Linked DNA regions of Canis lupus familiaris. The protein of the gene in region 1 interacts with the protein of each later gene in a pairwise test. Links are inferred from orthologs where the notes say so. Each region holds a gene or a part of one and is shown in the gene's direction. Other genes may lie near its edges.

Region 1 (3,912 bases):
AAATGAGGTAAATATTTGGCAGTCAGGAACCCGTGAGGAAATTATTTGCTTTATCAAAGTAGACACATATTCTGTATTTTGTAGAAACAGATCATCAGACTAACAGATGTTAGTGTAGAGAAACTGTAGTGTAATCTAAATCAGTGTTTCTAAAATCTGTACAGGTGAGATAGTGGAATTTATTTTTAGTTTACTAACATGTTCAGTACTCCCTGTCTCATTTTCAGACCGAGGAGTTGTACCAGGTGATTGAAGGTCAAAATGACACAATGGCAAAGCTTCGAGAAATGCTACACCAAAGCCAGCTTGGACAACTTCATGTATTTGAGGGTCACATAGGACAGGAGGTGAGATTCTGGTTAAGGAAGTGCCATGCTTTTCAGACACAGTCTTGATTTTGTTGGTCTTCTCAGCTGCTCAGTGCTTGCTGTCCTCTTGATTAATTTTTACTTTTTTTTTTTTTTTTCCAGAGCTCACAGGGTACTTCCCCAGCTCAGCAACAGATGGCTCTGCTTGATCTTCAGAGTGGTTTGTTCTACAGCCAGCTTGAGATTCAGAAACTCCAGAGGTTGGTACGTCAAAAAGAACGCCAACTGGCTGATGCCAAACGATGTGTCCAATTTGTAGAGGCTGCAGCCCATGAAAGAGAACAGCAGAAAGAGGCATCTTGGAAACATAATCAGGTAAATCAGCAATCATTTTGTGACCAAAAATGCTAACTTTGCCCTGATAATAACTTTGTATCAGGACAGTTTGTGTTGAATCCTTGAGTCATTTTGCTTAATCTAAGTAATTCAGTTCAACATTTATTGCCCTCATACCTATAGGTGCCAGATATTGGGCTGTGTTCTGGAAATACAAGAGTGAATATCATAAGCTCTTTCCTGTTAAGCTACTTGTAGTTTAGTATGAAATAGTCACATAAACAGAATTTTCGTGTGGCAAATACCAAAATGAGTTAAAGGAGTTCTGTGTGGGTCCGATAGGAATATATAGGAGGGGCTGAGGAAGGGAGTTAGGGAGAGCTTCATGAGGGAGGAGCCATCTGGGGTTATTCTTGAAGTGTGAGTAAAGATTACCAAGACAGAATAATGGTAAACAACAACCAAGCTCAGAGGAATGGCATGTACAGTTAGCCACATCTTTAAAAAATAATCATTATTATTATTAAGTGGTTCCTTTATCTTGCTAGAGTATATGCTGTCGATTTTCTTTTTAAGGATTTAAAAGGGGCAGCCCAGGTGGCTCAGCGGTTTAGCGCTGCCTTCGGCCCAGGGTGTGATCCTGGAGACCCGGGATCGAGTACTGCATCAGGCTCCCTGCATGGAGCCTGCTTCTCCCACTTCCTGTGTCTCTGCCTCTCTCTCTCTCTGTATCTCTCATGAATAAATGGATAGAATCTTTAAAAAAAAAAAAAAGATTTAAAAGGATGATAGAAATACTCTGTCCTTGAGCTTATTCAGGTTTCCAGTGGGACAGAGTTCTGCTGAGTAGAGCTATCATTTTAAAACTAGAAAGTATTAGACTACTAATATGAAATTTACATCTTACCGCCATTCACAGTTGCCACAGCTTCCTATATCCTATTTGATTCATGTATAATATATATTTTTTAAGATTTTTTTAAAGCTTTTATTTATTCACTCATGACAGAGAGAGAGAGAGAGAGGCAGGGAGAGAAGCAGGCTCCATGCAGGGAGCCCGACACGGGACTTGATCCTGGGTCTCCAGGATCACACCCCAGGCCGAAGGCGGCACTAAACTGCTGGGCCACTGGGGCTGCCCAGATTTTATTTATTTATTCATGAGAGGCAGAGACATAGGCAGAGGGAGAAACAGGCTCCCTCTGGTGAACCTGATGTGGGATTCGATCCCAGAACCCTGAGCCAAAGGCAGCCACTCAACCACTGAGCCCCCCGGGTGCCCCTGATTCATGTATAATATTTCTTTTTTTTTTATTTTTTTATTTTTTTTATTTTTTTTTCATGTATAATATTTCTACAGTAATTTTAAGAATGGCACTTTTCTGCTACTTTTGTTTTATTCTATATGTCTTGAAAGTTTTAAGGACTCCCTATCTACTAACCAGGTGAAAATTTTAGATTGTTTGAAAAAGGGAATCTGTTTAATTCAGGAATTACGGAAAGCCTTGCAGCAGCTCCAAGGAGAATTACAGAGTAAGAGCCAACAGCTTCGTACCCTGGAGACTGAAAAATGTAATGAGATCAGAGCCCATGAGCAACACATTCAACACCTAAACCATAGTCTGAGCCACAAAGAGCAGCTGCTTCAGGTGAGTCTACATAATGGTTTTAACTAAACTGGGCTCGCAGAGCTCTGAAAGTTCCATTCATGTAATTTCAGGATATTAGTCCACTTGTGTTGAGTACCTGTTACATGTAGAGAACTGAGAGGTGGGAACCAGGAGGGTACAAAATAAATAGAAAGTACAATTCACGAACCACAATACTAATCAGCATATGTACAAAATAATAAATATAGATCTGAAAGATTTAAGCAATAAATATTCAGCAAATTAAACATGTCTGTGAACTAGATACTATGCTAGATGCTGGGAAGACAGAAGATACAGCCACTGCTCTCAATCTAGTAGGTGAAGACATCTGTATAGGAATTTCCAGTTACTTATGTGATAAAATGAACATCAGGGAAAATAGGAAACACTGAAGATGACTGTATTTACTTCTACCACTTGCTCTAAGCTTTAGTCCCATTGAATCCCTTATGTTCTGCTGAACGTACAGTTTTTTCCTCATGTGCATGTATTGTGTATACATTTTTTGTCTGATAGAAATACCCATACCACCTCTTCATTGGGGAAACTCCCAGTTCTTTAAGATTTAGAGTAAATGTAATCCCTTTGGGAGATCTTTAGTGACATCTTCAGGCAGGTTTAGACCATGCATCTTGTGGTCCCCCAGTGGCTGGCTATGCAGACATAGCCGTATATGCATGATGTATATATAAATTCATATATGCACACACACATATACACATGTGTACAGTAATTAACAATTTGTATGTCTGTTATGTCTGCTAACCTGTGTTTTCCTGGAGAGTGATCACATTTTGTTTTTTATCCTGAATAACAAATTGCTTGGCAGAGTGTAGGAATTCAATGCATATTAGATAAATGAATAAAAGGAAATATTTTTTGGTCTTGTTAGGAATTTCGGGAGCTCCTGCAGTATCGAGATAAGTCAGACAAAACCCTTGAAGCAAATGAAATGTTGCTTGAGAAACTTCGGCAGCGAATACAAGACCGAGATGTTGCTTTGGAGGTATGTACCTTGATTTTGTTTATGGCACTATGGATTATTCTGTTCACATAGGTACTTAAAAATATGTGTACACTTAATTTACTGCTTTTAGAGTTGGTCTTCCCTTCCTTTATATTTTCATTGTATACGTGTGATCACAATAGTGAATCCTCAGGAGCTTTAGGATCCTTACTTTCCTTGCAGCGGGCTATAGATGAAAAGTTCTCCGCCCTGGAAGAGAAAGAAAAAGAACTGCGTCAATTTCATCTTGCTGTGCGAGAGCGTGATCATGACTTAGAGAGATTGCGTGCTATTCTCTCCTCTAATGAAGCTACCATGCAGGTAAGAGCACAACCTGTCTTGAGATCCTTTTCCCACTTAGATTCTATACCTGAAGTATCAACCCCTTTCCCTCATTATCTGAAAACCAAGATATTTGCTTTATGAGAAAAAAAATACAAAAACAACAAAAATAGCCATCATTATAGATTAGGAAGTAAGAAGTGTTAGTACTTCTGCTGTGGACTTTGTAGGGGGAAGCAGTGAATATGGATTTTCAGACATCCTTCTGATTTGTTTCTAATCCTTGTCAACATCTATATACTTTTACATGAGCATTGCCAGCATACAA
Region 2 (4,606 bases), on another chromosome or scaffold:
TAGGGACAACGTCTGTTGTTATTTCCCAAAGCATTTTCACCCCTTAGCACTGGGACAGAGGCACGCTCCATGAGTATTTGTAGAAACGTGCAAGTCAAAAGGGTCATTAAGTAACCACAATTTGAACACAACGTGCTTTTCTATGCAGGACGGAACCTACATAATAGCTAATAATAAAGAAACGAGGAAAAGTAAGGGCACCCCAGAGCAGAAACGAGAGCCTGTCGCATGTCCTTGGGCATTTAACATGGGGGCCAGAGAACAGGCTGCAGTTTTCTGCTGGCCAGAAAAACTTGAGTCCTTGCGCTTCACAATCTGATTTGCCCTTTTTTTTTTTTTAACTGACGGTTTCCATGAGATGCAGAAAGTACGGCTTAGGGTTCTCCAACCATCTGAGCTCTGGTTAACGAACCAAGTTATTCAGGTATCCGTTTTTAAGCGACTGGATAAACTATCCAAAAAAAAAAAAAAAAGAGAGAGAGAGCGAGCAAGTGAGAGAGAGCGTTTTGTGACACAAAAAATGCACACAAATTTCACATTTCTGTGCGTCCCTAAGTAACGTTTTCCTGGAACACATACATGCACCTGTTCAATCCAGCAGTTTTGGGCCTAGAACAGCTTGAATTGAGTAGCTGCAAAGCTTCAAGAATTCAGTATGGGGTCCTTTAGAGGGGATGGATGCCTGCCTGCCTGCCTGCCTGCCTGCCTGCCTACCTGCGGGGCAGATGACGTCAGAGTCCTGTGCAGACAGGTGAAGCAGGGAAGTGCAATAAGCAGCGCAGGGGGGCGGGGGGCGGGGGTGATCACCGCCGGCCGAGGCCTGGGGACGCGAGCGGCTCTTACCGAAGTAGTCGAGCCAGTTCATCTCGCGCAGCGCCTTGGGGAGCCGCAGGATCTCGATGTTGTACAGGTTGTCCATCTCCTTGAGGAGGTTCTGTGTGTCCGACTGGATCTGCTTGGACCGTATTTGCACTGCGGGCAGGGCACACGGGCGGGTGAACCGGGGCCCGGGGCCCCGCACCCCACCCCGCCCGCACCCCGGCTGCGCCCCCTACCTTCCCGGTCGAAGTCCCGAAGAAAGGAGGCGAGCTTCCGGCTCCGCAAGGAGCTGGTCTTGGCCACCCGACTGCCGCCCTTCCTAGCCGGAGCCATGGCGCTTGGGTGGAGGCTGCGGGCGCCCCCGGGGCGTGGGGGGGGGGGGCGGTCAGCGGCCGAGGTCGCGGGAGAGGCCGGGCGGGCGCCCTAAGGGGCGAGCGGGGGGCACAGGCTGCCCCGGGGAGGCCCGAGCTTAAACGAGGCGCGGGGCACGTACATGCGGGTCGCCGAAAGCGTCCAAGAGAACCCCCGCCTCCGCAGCCGCAAGGACGGAGCAGCTCCTTGCAGAACCCGACGTGCAGCCGCCGCCGCCGAATTCAAACCGCCACCGGCTGACGAATCAGAAGTCGCCGTCTTGGGAGGCTCCCGCAACATCCAATCACAAGGACGCTCCGCCCGTAGGACTACAGCCCCCAGAAGGCATCGCGCGTTGCGACCTCCGTTTGCGCCGCGGCGGCCGCGCTGGAGCATGCGCGGAGAGGCGGCGAGGGAGCGCCGGGCGTGGGTGCCCCGGTGGGCGCCCCCGCTTAGCCGCCGCGGGCTTCCAGGGCTCCCGCCGGTTCGGGGAAGGCGACCGGAGCTGCCAGGGGAGGAGACAGAACTCGGGCTCAAGGCCCGGGTTTCGGGACAGCGCTGCGACCTGAAAGCGGGGCCGCCCCCGGGTCGGAGGGGGTACACGGCGCTTGCGCACGGGAACCCTCGCACCTGGGCCGCCTGGCGCTGCCCGCCGGCCTGGGCTTGTCCGGCAGGTGATGGCGCAGGACCAGCCTCTGCTCGCCGTGCGGGAGGCCCTGAGGGGCTGCTTCCCCGCCGTGCAGGAGCAGCAGCGCCGCTGGCGGGGCGCGCTCGGGGACTGCCAGCCCCTGCTGGCCGCGCTCGGCAGCCTGGCGGAGCAGCTGCAGGCGGCTCAGGTCGCGCGGCTGGACGACGCGCCCCCGCTTCGGGCCTTCCCGGGCCTGCGGGAGCGGCTGCGGCGCAAGCAGCTGGAGGCTGGCGACGACGTGTTGGACAAGCTAGGGGAGACGCTGTAAGAAGAGCTCCGCGCGGGAGGGTGGAGACGCGGGGGCTCCCTAAGCAGCTAGGATCAGTCGGAGAGGGGGTTTCCCCTTCCCTGGAAGGGAAGGAGGTGTCGCAGCCTCGCCTCTTCTCCATTTGTTGCAATGGGATTTATTGATTGATTGATTGATTGATTGATTTTATGCATGGGACGCAGGCAGAGGGAGATGCAGGCTCCACGCAGGGAGCCCGACGTGGGACTCTATCCTGGGTCTCTAGGGTCACGCCCTGGGCTGCAGGCAGATGCTCACCCGCTGAGCCACCCGGGGGTTCCCCGCAATGGGACCTCTTGTCACAAAGTCGTTTTACAGGGGCACCTGGCTGGCGTGGTCAGTCGGGCTTTGGGCTCTGTGGTTTTGGCTCAGGTCGTGCTCTCAGGTGGTGAGGTCAAGCCCGGCGCTGGGGCTCTGCACTCAGTGTGCAGTCTGCCCTCCTTCCTTCCCTTCCTCCCTTCCTTCCTCCCTTCCCTTCCTTTCCTTCCTCCCTCACTTCCTCCCTTCCCTTCCCTTCCTTCCCTTCCTTCCCTTCCCTTCCTTACTTTCCTTCCTTCCTCCCTTCCCTTCCTTCTTCCCTTCCCTTCCCTTTTAGAGAGAGGGGATAAGTGGGGAAAGGGGCAGAGGGAGAGAGAGCATTTCAAGGAGACTCCCAGCTGGGCGCAGAGCCCCATGCAGGGCTCCCATGTCACGATCCGTCATGACAACATGACCTGAGCCAGAATCGCAAGGGAATGCATCCCTGACAAAGGCACCCCGCGCGGATAGGCCTTTTCTCGACTAGAGCAAAATAAGTGTCCAGTGTATACGGTCTGTGCCCTAGGCTAACGGGAACAGGTCGAGTACAGGGATCTTCTTTGTAGTCATTTGTACAAGAGAGCTGAGCACCTGTAATTAAGCCACGCACAAGGTGGTGGGAATATAGCAATGAACCAGGCTTGGTTTCTTTGTAGATTAGAAGAGAGAGAGTTTTTTTTTTTTAAGATTTTTTTTAAAGATTTATTCATTTATTTATGATAGACATAGAGAAAGAGAGGTAGAGACACAGGCAGAGGGAGAAGCAGGCTCCATGCCGGGAGCCCGACGTGGGACTCGATCCCGGGACTCCAGGGTCACGACCTGGGCCGAAGGCAGGCACTAAACCACTGAGCCTCCCAGGGATACCCCTTTTTTTAAGATTTTATTTATTTATCCATGAGACACACAAAGAGAGAGGCAGAGACACAGGCGGAGGGAGAAGCAGGCTCCATGCAGGGGGCCTGATGTGGGACTCGATCCCAGGTCTCCAGGATCACGCCCTGGAATAATAAGAATATTATTACTATTATGCTCACTGTGAGCTGGGCACTTCCCTAAGCACTTTATAAGCATTATTGCATTTGATCCTCCCAAGAACCGTTTCACTCCATTCATTCATTGAACAAGTGTTTGTCATTCTACGTGCCAGTCTCAGGGTTGTGAGCACTTAGGGTGTGCAGTGAGCAACACCATTTTTATACATGATTGAGCGTTAAGTAACTTCTCCTATCTGCAGTAGTCTCTCTCTGTGCACCCAGAGCAGTTTTTCCCACTGGGACGTTTGGCAGTGTCTGGAGACCCGATTGATTGTCCTGACGTGGTTTGCTCCTCTCATCTAGCGGGTAGAGGCCGAGGATACTGCTCAGCATCCTAACACGCACAGGACAACAACTCTCCACCACAAGGGACCGTCCAAATTGAAATGTGCATGTGCTGAGGTTGAGGACCCCTGCCTTAGGGTCCTCTCGTGGTATTGCCTAATGTGAGACTTTTCCCCCCAGAGCTACCCTCCTCAAGGTGCGTGACGTTGTCAGCAGGCACGTGGAACAAGTGTTTGAGGTCTATGAGCAGCACGCAGACGCGATTGGCATTGATGCTGTCCAGCGGGCTTCAGCGGTGAGCCCCTCTGTGGCTGACATGTTGGAGTGGTTGCAGGATATTGAGAGACACTATCGAAATGCGTATCCTTTGCGAATATGTTTCAGACAGCATCCAGAGCTGTCTCAGGAAGTTTTTCATTTCAGTTTTCACGAGAGCATACGACTATAGAGTGCAGGTCAGTTCTCATTGTCTTTGAACTTGGGGAAAAATGAAACGGGGCAAGCGAAGGGCGAGGGTGGGGCTGTGATCTTAAACATGGTAGTCAGGAGAGGCCTCACTGAGATAGTGACATTTGAGAAAAGACCTAAGGAAGATGAGGGAGAGAACCAGTTGATACTCGGGGAGAGGGTGTCCCAGGTAGAAGAAATGTCAAGTGCAAAGGCCCTGAGGTAAGAGCAGGCCTGATATGTTCAGAAAGTAGCACGGATGCCAGTGTTGCTAGACTGGAGTGAGGAAGGGGAGCCCGATAGGAGACGGATTCCGAGAGACCGGGCCGGACCTTGCAGAGCCTCGGAGGTCTTTGAAAGGATCTTGGCTTCGACGGGAAGCTATTCAAAGGTTTT
Region 3 (4,577 bases), about 3.0 Mb from region 1:
GTCTGCTTGGGATTTTCCCCACCTTCTTCCCCTCTCCTTCCCCCTCTTCCAAAAATAAATACATAAATCTTTGGGGAAAAAAAAAAAAAACCCAACAACTTAGATCTAGAGTGGTTAGAGCACTGGTCTCACAAAGAACCTTAGAAACCAACTCTCCACTGTTTGCTGTAAATGTTTAATCACTTGCAATTAAAAAGTTTCCATGTGGTTAATATTACGAGCTTTGGAGTCAGATCTGTTTGAATTCCCACTCTAATGCTCATTGGTTATTTGACCTTGGTCAAATTGGTTAACCAATCTAAGTCTGTTTCTTCATCTGTAAACAAACGTATGCTTGACGGGGATGGGAGAACCAAATGGGCCAATGTATGTAAAACCTCTAGAATAGAGACTGGCATAAATAGAAGCAGCTCCTCTCCACCCGGATAGTGGCACAGGGTCTGTCCCAACCAGACAAGGCAACACTGAGATGGGAGAACAAAAAGATAAAGGTGGGTCAGACCACAACACAATTAGGAAATTTCAGGGGAAGTTGCCTAGCCGGGTCATTACATTCTAATGAGGAATAATCTCTTCTGAGTGGTTGTCTGCATCCCTACCATGGAAGACTCACCGTCACCCCGTATTTCAGTGCGAGTCCAGCCAGGGTGTCTCCGGGGGCCAGCTGATGCTCCAGGCGTCTTTCCCTCACCGGGGAGCAGGCTGACTGCACCAGGCTTCCGTAAGAACGAGCCCGGCTCCCCTGTAGCAGTCCTGACCCCCCGAGGGGGGCCTGTCTAGAGGACGAAGCCATCTCCTCACCCCGCCGGCAGCTGGGGTTGCAAGTGAGGGAGGCCTGGCTAAGTGCCGACAGCCACGGGGCTGGGGGCGAGGGACGTCTATCCAGGGGGTTCCTTTCCCCCGTCTCCTCTCACAAACCCCCGTCTGCCCCGGCACTTCGCGCCCCCGCGGCTCTCGTTTGTCCCGCTTCCCAGGCGCCTTCCCACGAATCTGTATCCCGAGGATCCAGTCCCTACCAGAGTCTCTCCTTATTAGCACCCCGCTGACTTTCAACCCTCCCACCACTATGAACTCTGACCTTTGAACCGTAGTTACCCTCCACACTCCGCTCAGCTCGCCCCTCTCCCCCAGGTCAGGCAGCCTCCGCCTCCCAGGTTCCCTTCACACCCCGGCCCCGCCTCGTCCCGGGTTGGTCGGCTTGTGTCAGGAATAAATCCAGCCCCCTCCTGGTGGGCTGTCGGCGGCCAGGGAGGCGCGTGAGGACCGCGAGAGTTTGTACTACACGTTCCACTCAGAGATCTTCCAAGGCCCGCTCCTCAGCAAATCCGTCACGGCCTCAACGTCGGTCTCCACATTTAAGTTCTTGTCTCCCCAGACGCCTCGAATCAGCCAAGATGCAAGGGCCGGGAGCCAGCTGGGTGGCAAGCCCTTTGAAAAAAAGACTTCATTTCCCAAAACGCCCCGCGCCTGCGGGGTCGCCGGGTCGCGTGGGCAGTGCGGTCGGCTCCGCAGGCTGTGGGCGGGCTTTCCGCGAGCGCTGTGCATCTAGGGAAGTAAGGAGGCCAACCGGAAAGAAACCCGACGGGAGAAGACGCCTTACTCTCGCTACGGTGGCCTGAGAGGAGTGGCCGAGGCGGCTCGGGAGAATTGTTCGCTTCTGGAGCTCAGTCGTAATGTCTTTCAAGAGGGAAGGGGATGATTCGAGTCAACTCAATGTGCTCAAAGTAAGCGCGAGAGGGGAGCATCGGGAACAGTTTCACTGCCCCGTGAAGGAGCTGTTTTGTTGCTCTGGCAACAGCTGCGGGGCCGGCGCGACCAGAGCTGGGTAGTGACCCCTTCTTCGCCCAGTGATCTCTGTTCTCATGGTCCTTTTTGCCTTTCAATCTTTGACCCCTCCCTCCTCTCCCACTGGTCCCGTCCGGCTACCCCCTGCAGAAACGGAGAGTCGGGGACCTGCTGGCCAGTTATATCCCAGAGGATGAAGCGCTCATGCTACGGGATGGACGGTGAGGGCGAGGGGTGATCAAGCCCGAGGGTGCTGCGGTTATAGGCTTCGTATAATTTTGTTATCAAGGGGGGAGCGGGAGTATCTAGGATTTTCTGATGGGGGATGAGGGACAGGGATGTGGGTGGTGGAAATTGGGAGACCCTAGAGTTTGGTTTTGGAAAGGGTTGCTAGGTCCAGGTGGAACCAGACCCCACTCACCTGGCACCGAATATCTTCTACCCTCCTCTCCAGCTTCGCTTGTGCTATCTGTCCCCACCGACCTGTACTGGACACCCTGGCCATGCTGACTGCCCACCGTGCAGGCAAGAAACATCTGTCCAGTAAGTGAGGGAAGACAAATCTCTGCAGATCACTCTTGCGGTTTTGTTTTTAATTCTCTTCCCCTCTACCTTCAGGCCTGCAGCTTTTCTATGGCAAGAAGCAGCCAGTAAAGGGAATGGAGCAGAATCCAAGACAGCAGAATGAATTGAGGCAGTCAGAGATCAAGGCTGAGGTAGGTAATCAGGGAGGGGAGGGTGTGTTTTGGGTGGGCCTGCTGCACATCTTAGGCTTGAAGGGCTTCGACTTCTTTCTAGCTCTGAAGACACTGACTGTGTTTCCCATCTCCACACCAGGCTCCTCTGTTAACGCAGACCCGACTTACCACCCAGAGTGCTCTGCACAGAGCTCCTCACTATAACAGTTGCTGCCGCAGGAAGCACAGGTCTGTGGGGTGGGAAAGCCAGAGGTAGGGCGGGTCAGAGGAGATAGATGGCTCTAAGATAAAGGTATTACAAATTGTATTCTCAGGAATATTAATACTCCAGAGATGTTTACTGATATTTCAGAAAAAAAAGAGAATGTTGCTTTTTTTTTTTTTTTTTAAGTTTAGGAAACGGCACTTTGGTTTTTGTTCTAAAGATTTTACTGATTTATTCATGAGAGACAGAGAGAGGCAGAGACATAGGCAGAGGGAGAAGCAGGCTCCCTGTGGAGAGCCCAATGCAGGATTCAATCCCAGGACCCCGGGATCATGACCTGAGCCGAAGGCAGACACTCAACCACTGAGTCACCCAGGTGCCCCAGGAAATGGCACTTTGTGATCCTACTTGAAGAGTAGTAATATTAATATATTCGAAGGGCTCTACAAAGTCTAAAGATTAAAAAAAAAAAACCCTCAAAATGTTATACTAGCCTTTTAAAAATTCATATGATTCCAAAATTCTTTTTTTTATGCAAGACATTTACTAATATCTTGAGGAACACAGTTTAGGAAACACTTCTGTAAGGGATTGGGAGTCATAGGAGAATTGGCCTTTTTCCTTTACTACTTTTATAGACGTTGATTCTTCTCTACCTAGACCAGAAACCCCTCGTCCCTCTGTCTCCCATCCCCCTTTACCACCCCCAGAGGTTGAGCCTGAGAGTGGGAAGATCACTAAGGAACCCATGCCTGGAGCTGGCCCACAGGCCAAGGAGTCAGCAACTGTCTCATCCCCTGTGCCCATGAGCCCCACGAGGAAACGAGCCCTGGATCATTACCTCACCCTTCGAAGGTTTGTATGCAGAATCACTTTCTTCAAGTTTTCTCTTTTCTTTCTGAGTTTTCTTATTTCAATCCTTCTCAATTGTTTTTCTCTTATCCCCATTAACTTCTTAAACCTCTTTTCCTGATTTATTCTATTTTCTGTTATTTGCAGCTCTGGATGGATCCCAGATGGACAAGGTCGATGGGTAAAAGATGAGAATGTTGAGTTTGACTCTGATGAAGAGGAACCTCCTGACCTTTCCTTAGACTGATACCCTCTTTTCCCCCTCAGTTCACAAATAAATTTCAGCAGGCTCCAGGAGTCTAACTTTCTTCAAGTCTACTTCCTTGCCCCATTTCAGGATTTCACTGGTGGATTTTTTTTTTTTTTTTTAAGTAGGCTACACACCCAATGTGGAGCCCAATGTAGAGCTTGAACTCATGACCCTGAGATCAAGACCTGAGCTGAGATCAAGAGTCAAACTCTGATTAACCAACCAAGCCACCCATTTCAGGTGTCCCCCATTTCAGGACAGCCAGGCCCATTCTTCCCTGAAATGTACACAGCTCCCCATACTTCTGACCCCTCCCCCACCTTCAACCAAAGTACTGCCAAGCGTCAGCTGCATGCAGCCCAATGCCCTATTAATAAGTCTGTCAGAAGGAGGTCTTTGCCCTTCATGTTGTCTGCCTTCTTTTTTTTTTTTTTTTTTTTTTTTGTTGTCTGCCTTCTTCCCCACCTTCACTCAAAGTTCTTTCCTCCTTCAGATCACATGAAGTTGTAGTTAGACACCAGGGGCCCTACCCGTATCTGAAAAGAGGGCTGGGGTAGTAGGTACCCTGTGAGAGCAGAAGGGACTAACTGCATTGGCAGGGCCACAGGGAACACCAAGGGAGGGAGCTGCCCCACCTCTGCCTAGTAACTTGAACCTCCCTGCCTGCTGATCCCCAGAGTATAAATAATCCCCTGATGAACTGGCAGTAACCCTTGGGGGTTAGCGCCAAGATTCCCACCCCAAAGCCCGAGGAAAGAGGGAGGCAGGCAGAGTGGACAGAAGGGCC
Region 4 (4,603 bases), on another chromosome or scaffold:
GCCTTTCACCAGGCCACGCAAAGCAGAACAGAAAAAAAGAGGCAAGCTCTGTGGGCGGAGGCAACTCAGTTAGGCCAGGGAGTCAGTTGCAGAGGGAGCGATAGGAAGCGCGCATCCGCTGCAGCGGGAGCCATAGGAAGCGCGCATGAGCTGCAGGGGTGAGCGATAGGAAGCGCGCATCAGGGGCAGTGGGAGGGATAGGAAGCGCGCAACAGCAGCAGAGGGAGCGATAGGAAGCGCGCATCAGCTGCAGGGGGAGCCATAGGAAGCGCGCATCAGCTGCAGGGGGAGCGATAGGAAGCGCGCATCAGGTGCAGAGGGAGGGATAGGAAGCGCGCAACAGCAGCAGAGGGAGCGATAGGAAGCGCGCATCAGCTGCAGGGGGAGCCATAGGAAGCGCGCATCAGCTGCAGGGGGAGCGATAGGAAGCGCGCATCAGGTGCAGAGGGAGGGATAGGAAGCGCGCAACAGCAGCAGAGGGAGCGATAGGAAGCGCGCATCAGCTGCAGGGGGAGCCATAGGAAGCGCGCATCAGCTGCAGGGGGAGCGATAGGAAGCGCGCATCAGGTGCAGAGGGAGGGATAGGAAGCGCGCAACAGCAGCAGAGGGAGCGATAGGAAGCGCGCATCAGCTGCAGGGGGAGCCATAGGAAGCGCGCATCAGCTGCAGAGGGAGCCATAGGAAGCGCGCATCAGCAGCAGAGGGAGCCATAGGAAGCGCGCATCAGCTGCAGAGGGAGCCATAGGAAGCGCCCATCAGCTGCAGGGGGGAGCGATAGGAAGCGCGCATCAGCTGCAGCGGGAGCCATAGGAAGCGCGCATCAGCTGCAGGGGGAGCGATAGGAAGCGCGCATCAGCAGCAGGAGCTGCGATAAGAAGCGCGCAACTGGGCAGCCCGGGTGGCTCAGCGGTTTAGCACCTTCAGCCCAGGGCCTGATCCTGGAGACCCAGGATCGAGTCCCACGTTGGGATCCCAGCATGGAGCCTGCTTCTCCCTCTGCCTGGGTCTCTGCCCCTCTCTCTCTCATGAATAAATAAAATCTAAAAAAAAAAAAAAAAAGTGCACACCTGCCTGAGGTCAGATTCGGGCTGTGTCCCGGGACCCCAACCCGGTTTGCTCCCCCTCACTTGCCAAACTGCAGAGGCGCGCTCACGTCCACGGACGCCCCGGGGTCGAGGGCGTCCGGCACGACCGCCACCTCCGTCGGCGCCCCGCCGCGCTCCAGCCGCAGCCCGCCCGGGGCCCGCGCCCCGCCCTCCGCGGCGCGCAGCGCCACCAGCACGCGGTCGCCGGCCGGGTGGGCGAGCGGGTCCAGCGGCCGCACGGTCACGTGGCACGGCAGCCGCGCGCGCAGCCGGCCGAGCGGGCTCACCCGCAGCGCCCACGCCCTCAGGCTCCCGCGCGAGGGGCCTGGCGGGGGCGGGGGCTCGGAGCCCGGCGGCCGCTCGCCTCCGCCTCCGCCGTGCGGCCGCGCCGGGCCGGCTCCGCGCGCCCCAACTCCGAGCGGGGTGAGCCGCAGGCCGCCGAGCCCGCAGCCAGGGCGCCGGGCGAACATGGCGCGCCCCTCTCGCGCTCCCTCAAACCGCCGCCGCCGCAGGCCGGGCCGCCCGCCTTAAGGCGGAAAGGCGGACGTTCGCGATTTGCCGAAGCAAGACTGCTCACTTCCGTCGGCAGTTTAAACCCTCAGCCGCGCACGCCGCCCCCGACAGTAAGTATCCACGCGGACCCCTGGACTCCCTGCCCGCGTCCTCCCCTTTCGCAAAGGCGCATGGGATTGGTAGTTCTAAAGGGGAGACAGGTCGTGGGGCTCCGGGCCGCTTAGAAACTACATATCCCAGGAGGCAACGCGCAGGGCAGAAGGGGGAGTGGGAGCAGGTGCCCACTAGCCATTGGAGGAGGGGGGAGGAGCTACTCAGATATCCAACTGGCCAATGGAAAGCGCGGAAGGAGCACGGTGGGCAGGACTGCGTGGTTTCCATGGCTACCAAGGACGCGACTGCTTTGGACAGGGTAGACCTTTGGAGTGAGACGCGGGAGGTCCTAATTTACCGAGAAAAACAGGAACCTAAAGGAGGATCAGGACCAAGTTAAGGGGTAAGAAACCTTTCAAAAGGTGAGACCTGGATGCAAACTAGAGTACCCCCAGTGAGTGGTTAGATCTAAACTTCACTAAACTAGTGCGGGATACCCTGGGGTGGTGAATCCCTGGGCAAGAAAATAAGAAACCAGATTGGTAGTTTTTTTTTTAATGGAATGCCCTCGTATAGAAATAGCAATAGAGTCCTTCCTCCTTCCTGATCCTAAGTGATCTTAAACCAGTCATTGGATGTCTCAGCGTTTTAATTTCTTCTTATTAAAATGAGGTCAATAATACTTCCCTTATTTTGCCTCAAAAAGTTTTTGCAAAGATCAAATAAGGTAATGGATGTGAACTCTATGCACAGGCTGCAAAATTGCAGTGTAAATTACTGTATTTTTGTTTTAGGGAGAGCATCGATTCTTAGTAACCAAGAAATATCTGAGAGATCAGAACTTGTGTCGACAGAAGCATTGATCTCTTTGGCTACAAATGACGCCCTCCCCCCGTTTTAGGAAAAAAAAAAAAACTAAAATAAGGAAAAAAGAGTCAACACAGTGCAATGGGAAGAGCATGAGACTGCTTATTTTCCTGGCTCTATCATTGGTTTATCTGGGTCACCTGAATCTGCTTCTGTTTTAAGATGAAGAAGGATTGTACTAAATGACTCTTTAAGATCTCTTTTACCTTTTATTCTGCAGGCAATTTAATAAAGGAAAAAAAAAAGCCCCACGAGATTTATTTCCTGCTTCCCTGCATATCTCTCCCTTTCTGTACCCCTTTCTCTTCCTACCAAGTATTCCCTATGTTCTTCAGTAAAGACAAACTGCAGTGACATTGAATAAAATGCAAGTGCCGAAACTGAGTGTCAAAAAACTGAAGCCCTTGTTGGGGTGCCCAGGGGCGCTCAGTCGGTTTAGCGTCTAACTCTTGGTTTCCACTTAGGTCATCATTCCTGGGCCCTGGGATGAAGCCCCACTTCTACTCCCCACTCATCAGGGAGTCTGCTTAAAGATTCTCTCCCACTGCCCCTCCCCCCATATAAATATATAAATCTTTAAAAACAAACAAACAAACTGAAGCCTATGGCAAAAGTGCAATAAGTGGAATTATGGGAGATATAGTGATAGAGAGATGGACTAAAGAACTAATGAACTGGTCTAAAGTCCACATGGGCCCAGGTCACAGGGTTCTCTGCTAGCCATTATCTTTTTTAAAATTCAGTGCTTTCACAAGTTATCCTTTCTTCTTTTCTGTCCTCCTAGTTCTTTCTCCCTCCTTATTCTTCCTCTTAGTGAAGGCTCATGATAGGTGCTAGCTTTTAGGTTCACCGTGTTCCCACTGAATACTAGCTCTGTCCTTGGCTTTGTTTCATTTGGTCATAATTATTCAGACAGATCTTCAAAGTGTCATTTTAATGAAAACCCACGGGGATAATTTTTAAAAAATTTGAAAAGGGCATTGGTTTAAGCAAGTTGAGAATGCACTAACATTTGTGTACACATGCCAAATATTTTTAGGTTATATAGGAATACCTAGCAGATCATTTTGTTTCTATGGTAATATTTCGTTTTCTGGAACAAACTAAGTTCATGGAATTGTCAACTGAACCATACTTGTCTATGTGCAAAATCATTGATTATTTTCAAATAAATTTATTTGAAAGAAATAAATTTCAAATAAAGATAATTGAAACACTACTTTTCTGATTATATGAGTTTGAAAATGGAGAAAATGATATAACATTATAGGATATTAAAAAGTTATTGATACTTTAAAAATACTTTTTTTGGATACATGACTTATGTATCAAATCTGTCCACATGTCAATGATGACTAATAAAAATACTGCCTTCCATCTATATGATATTATAGTTTTCAAATCGTGTCATCTTATAGTATCCTTATAAAACATTAAGTTTATCAGGGCAAATATTATCCTCACATTATAGATGAAGAAACAAATTCAGAAAGATTAAGATTAAACAATTAAGGTCTGGCCCTCTTCCCACTGTACTGAAAAGGTCCTTGATCCTCCTGACACCTTTGAAGAAAAATGATTATTCACCAAATGAATGGAGAATCATATGTAACTTTTTCCCCTTAAAGCTGACTTGGAAGATATTTTTACATCTTCAGTTTAAAAAAAAAAAAACATTCCTGTAGTCGTGAATATATATTGCTGGTGGCAGTGTAAGTTATTACAAACTTTACAGAGTTCAATTCAGCAGTATGCATAAAGCACTTTAAAAATATGTGAAACCATGACCTGGAAATTATACTTTTGGAGATTTAATGTAAGCATAAAATTAGGGATATTAAAAAAAAACTTACATTCAAGGAATTTTGTTTATTATATAATTACTTAGGCAACTTAAATGTCCCAAAATAGTAGGTGTTATATAAATCAGTAAACATCTGGAATATTATGCAGCAATTTAAAAATTATATTTTGAAGACAATTCAATGATAGGGGAACTCTTCCATAAAATAATTGTAAAGGAAAACTCCAATTCTCCTGTGTGT

Evidence for each region. The genes of interacting proteins can lie anywhere in the genome.
Region 2: the proteins of PDE4DIPP2 (region 1) and C15H1orf109 interact in binary tests that used the Homo sapiens proteins (3 or more experiments, as listed by UniProt). The two-hybrid records come from large-scale screens. The link is inferred for Canis lupus familiaris from reciprocal best matches to the Homo sapiens genes PDE4DIP and AIRIM.
Region 3: the proteins of PDE4DIPP2 (region 1) and SCNM1 interact in binary tests that used the Homo sapiens proteins (3 or more experiments, as listed by UniProt). The two-hybrid records come from large-scale screens. The link is inferred for Canis lupus familiaris from reciprocal best matches to the Homo sapiens genes PDE4DIP and SCNM1.
Region 4: the proteins of PDE4DIPP2 (region 1) and CCDC146 interact in binary tests that used the Homo sapiens proteins (3 or more experiments, as listed by UniProt). The two-hybrid records come from large-scale screens. The link is inferred for Canis lupus familiaris from reciprocal best matches to the Homo sapiens genes PDE4DIP and CCDC146.

What each region holds. Positions count from the first base shown.
Region 1 is NC_049238.1:57,872,699-57,876,610, forward strand, and holds part of PDE4DIPP2 (myomegalin), read left to right. Parts: coding exon 1-7; intron 8-227; coding exon 228-347; intron 348-470; coding exon 471-683; intron 684-2,134; coding exon 2,135-2,293; intron 2,294-3,188; coding exon 3,189-3,302; intron 3,303-3,485; coding exon 3,486-3,623; intron 3,624-3,912. UniProt on the Homo sapiens protein: Functions as an anchor sequestering components of the cAMP-dependent pathway to Golgi and/or centrosomes.
Region 2 is NC_049236.1:4,885,260-4,889,865, forward strand, and holds the start of C15H1orf109 (uncharacterized protein C1orf109 homolog), read left to right. Parts: upstream 1-1,558; 5' UTR 1,559-1,847; coding exon 1,848-2,122; intron 2,123-3,943; coding exon 3,944-4,123; intron 4,124-4,606. Other genes in the region: CDCA8 (borealin), read right to left, coding at 844-972, 1,056-1,152. UniProt on the Homo sapiens protein: Part of the 55LCC heterohexameric ATPase complex which is chromatin-associated and promotes replisome proteostasis to maintain replication fork progression and genome stability.
Region 3 is NC_049238.1:60,887,422-60,891,998, forward strand, and holds SCNM1 (sodium channel modifier 1), read left to right. Parts: upstream 1-1,529; 5' UTR 1,530-1,673; coding exon 1,674-1,724; intron 1,725-1,935; coding exon 1,936-2,006; intron 2,007-2,239; coding exon 2,240-2,328; intron 2,329-2,403; coding exon 2,404-2,501; intron 2,502-2,622; coding exon 2,623-2,711; intron 2,712-3,348; coding exon 3,349-3,543; coding exon of another isoform or gene 3,544-3,687; coding exon 3,688-3,787; 3' UTR 3,788-3,848; downstream 3,849-4,577. Other genes in the region: LYSMD1 (lysM and putative peptidoglycan-binding domain-containing protein 1), read right to left, coding at 614-793; TMOD4 (tropomodulin-4), read right to left, coding at 3,526-3,689. UniProt on the Homo sapiens protein: As a component of the minor spliceosome, involved in the splicing of U12-type introns in pre-mRNAs. Plays a role in the regulation of primary cilia length and Hedgehog signaling.
Region 4 is NC_049239.1:17,563,625-17,568,227, forward strand, and holds the start of CCDC146 (coiled-coil domain-containing protein 146), read left to right. Parts: upstream 1-1,555; 5' UTR 1,556-1,708; intron 1,709-1,895; exon of another isoform or gene 1,896-2,113; intron 2,114-4,603. Other genes in the region: protein FAM185A, read right to left, coding at 1,132-1,555. UniProt on the Homo sapiens protein: Essential for sperm flagellum biogenesis and male fertility.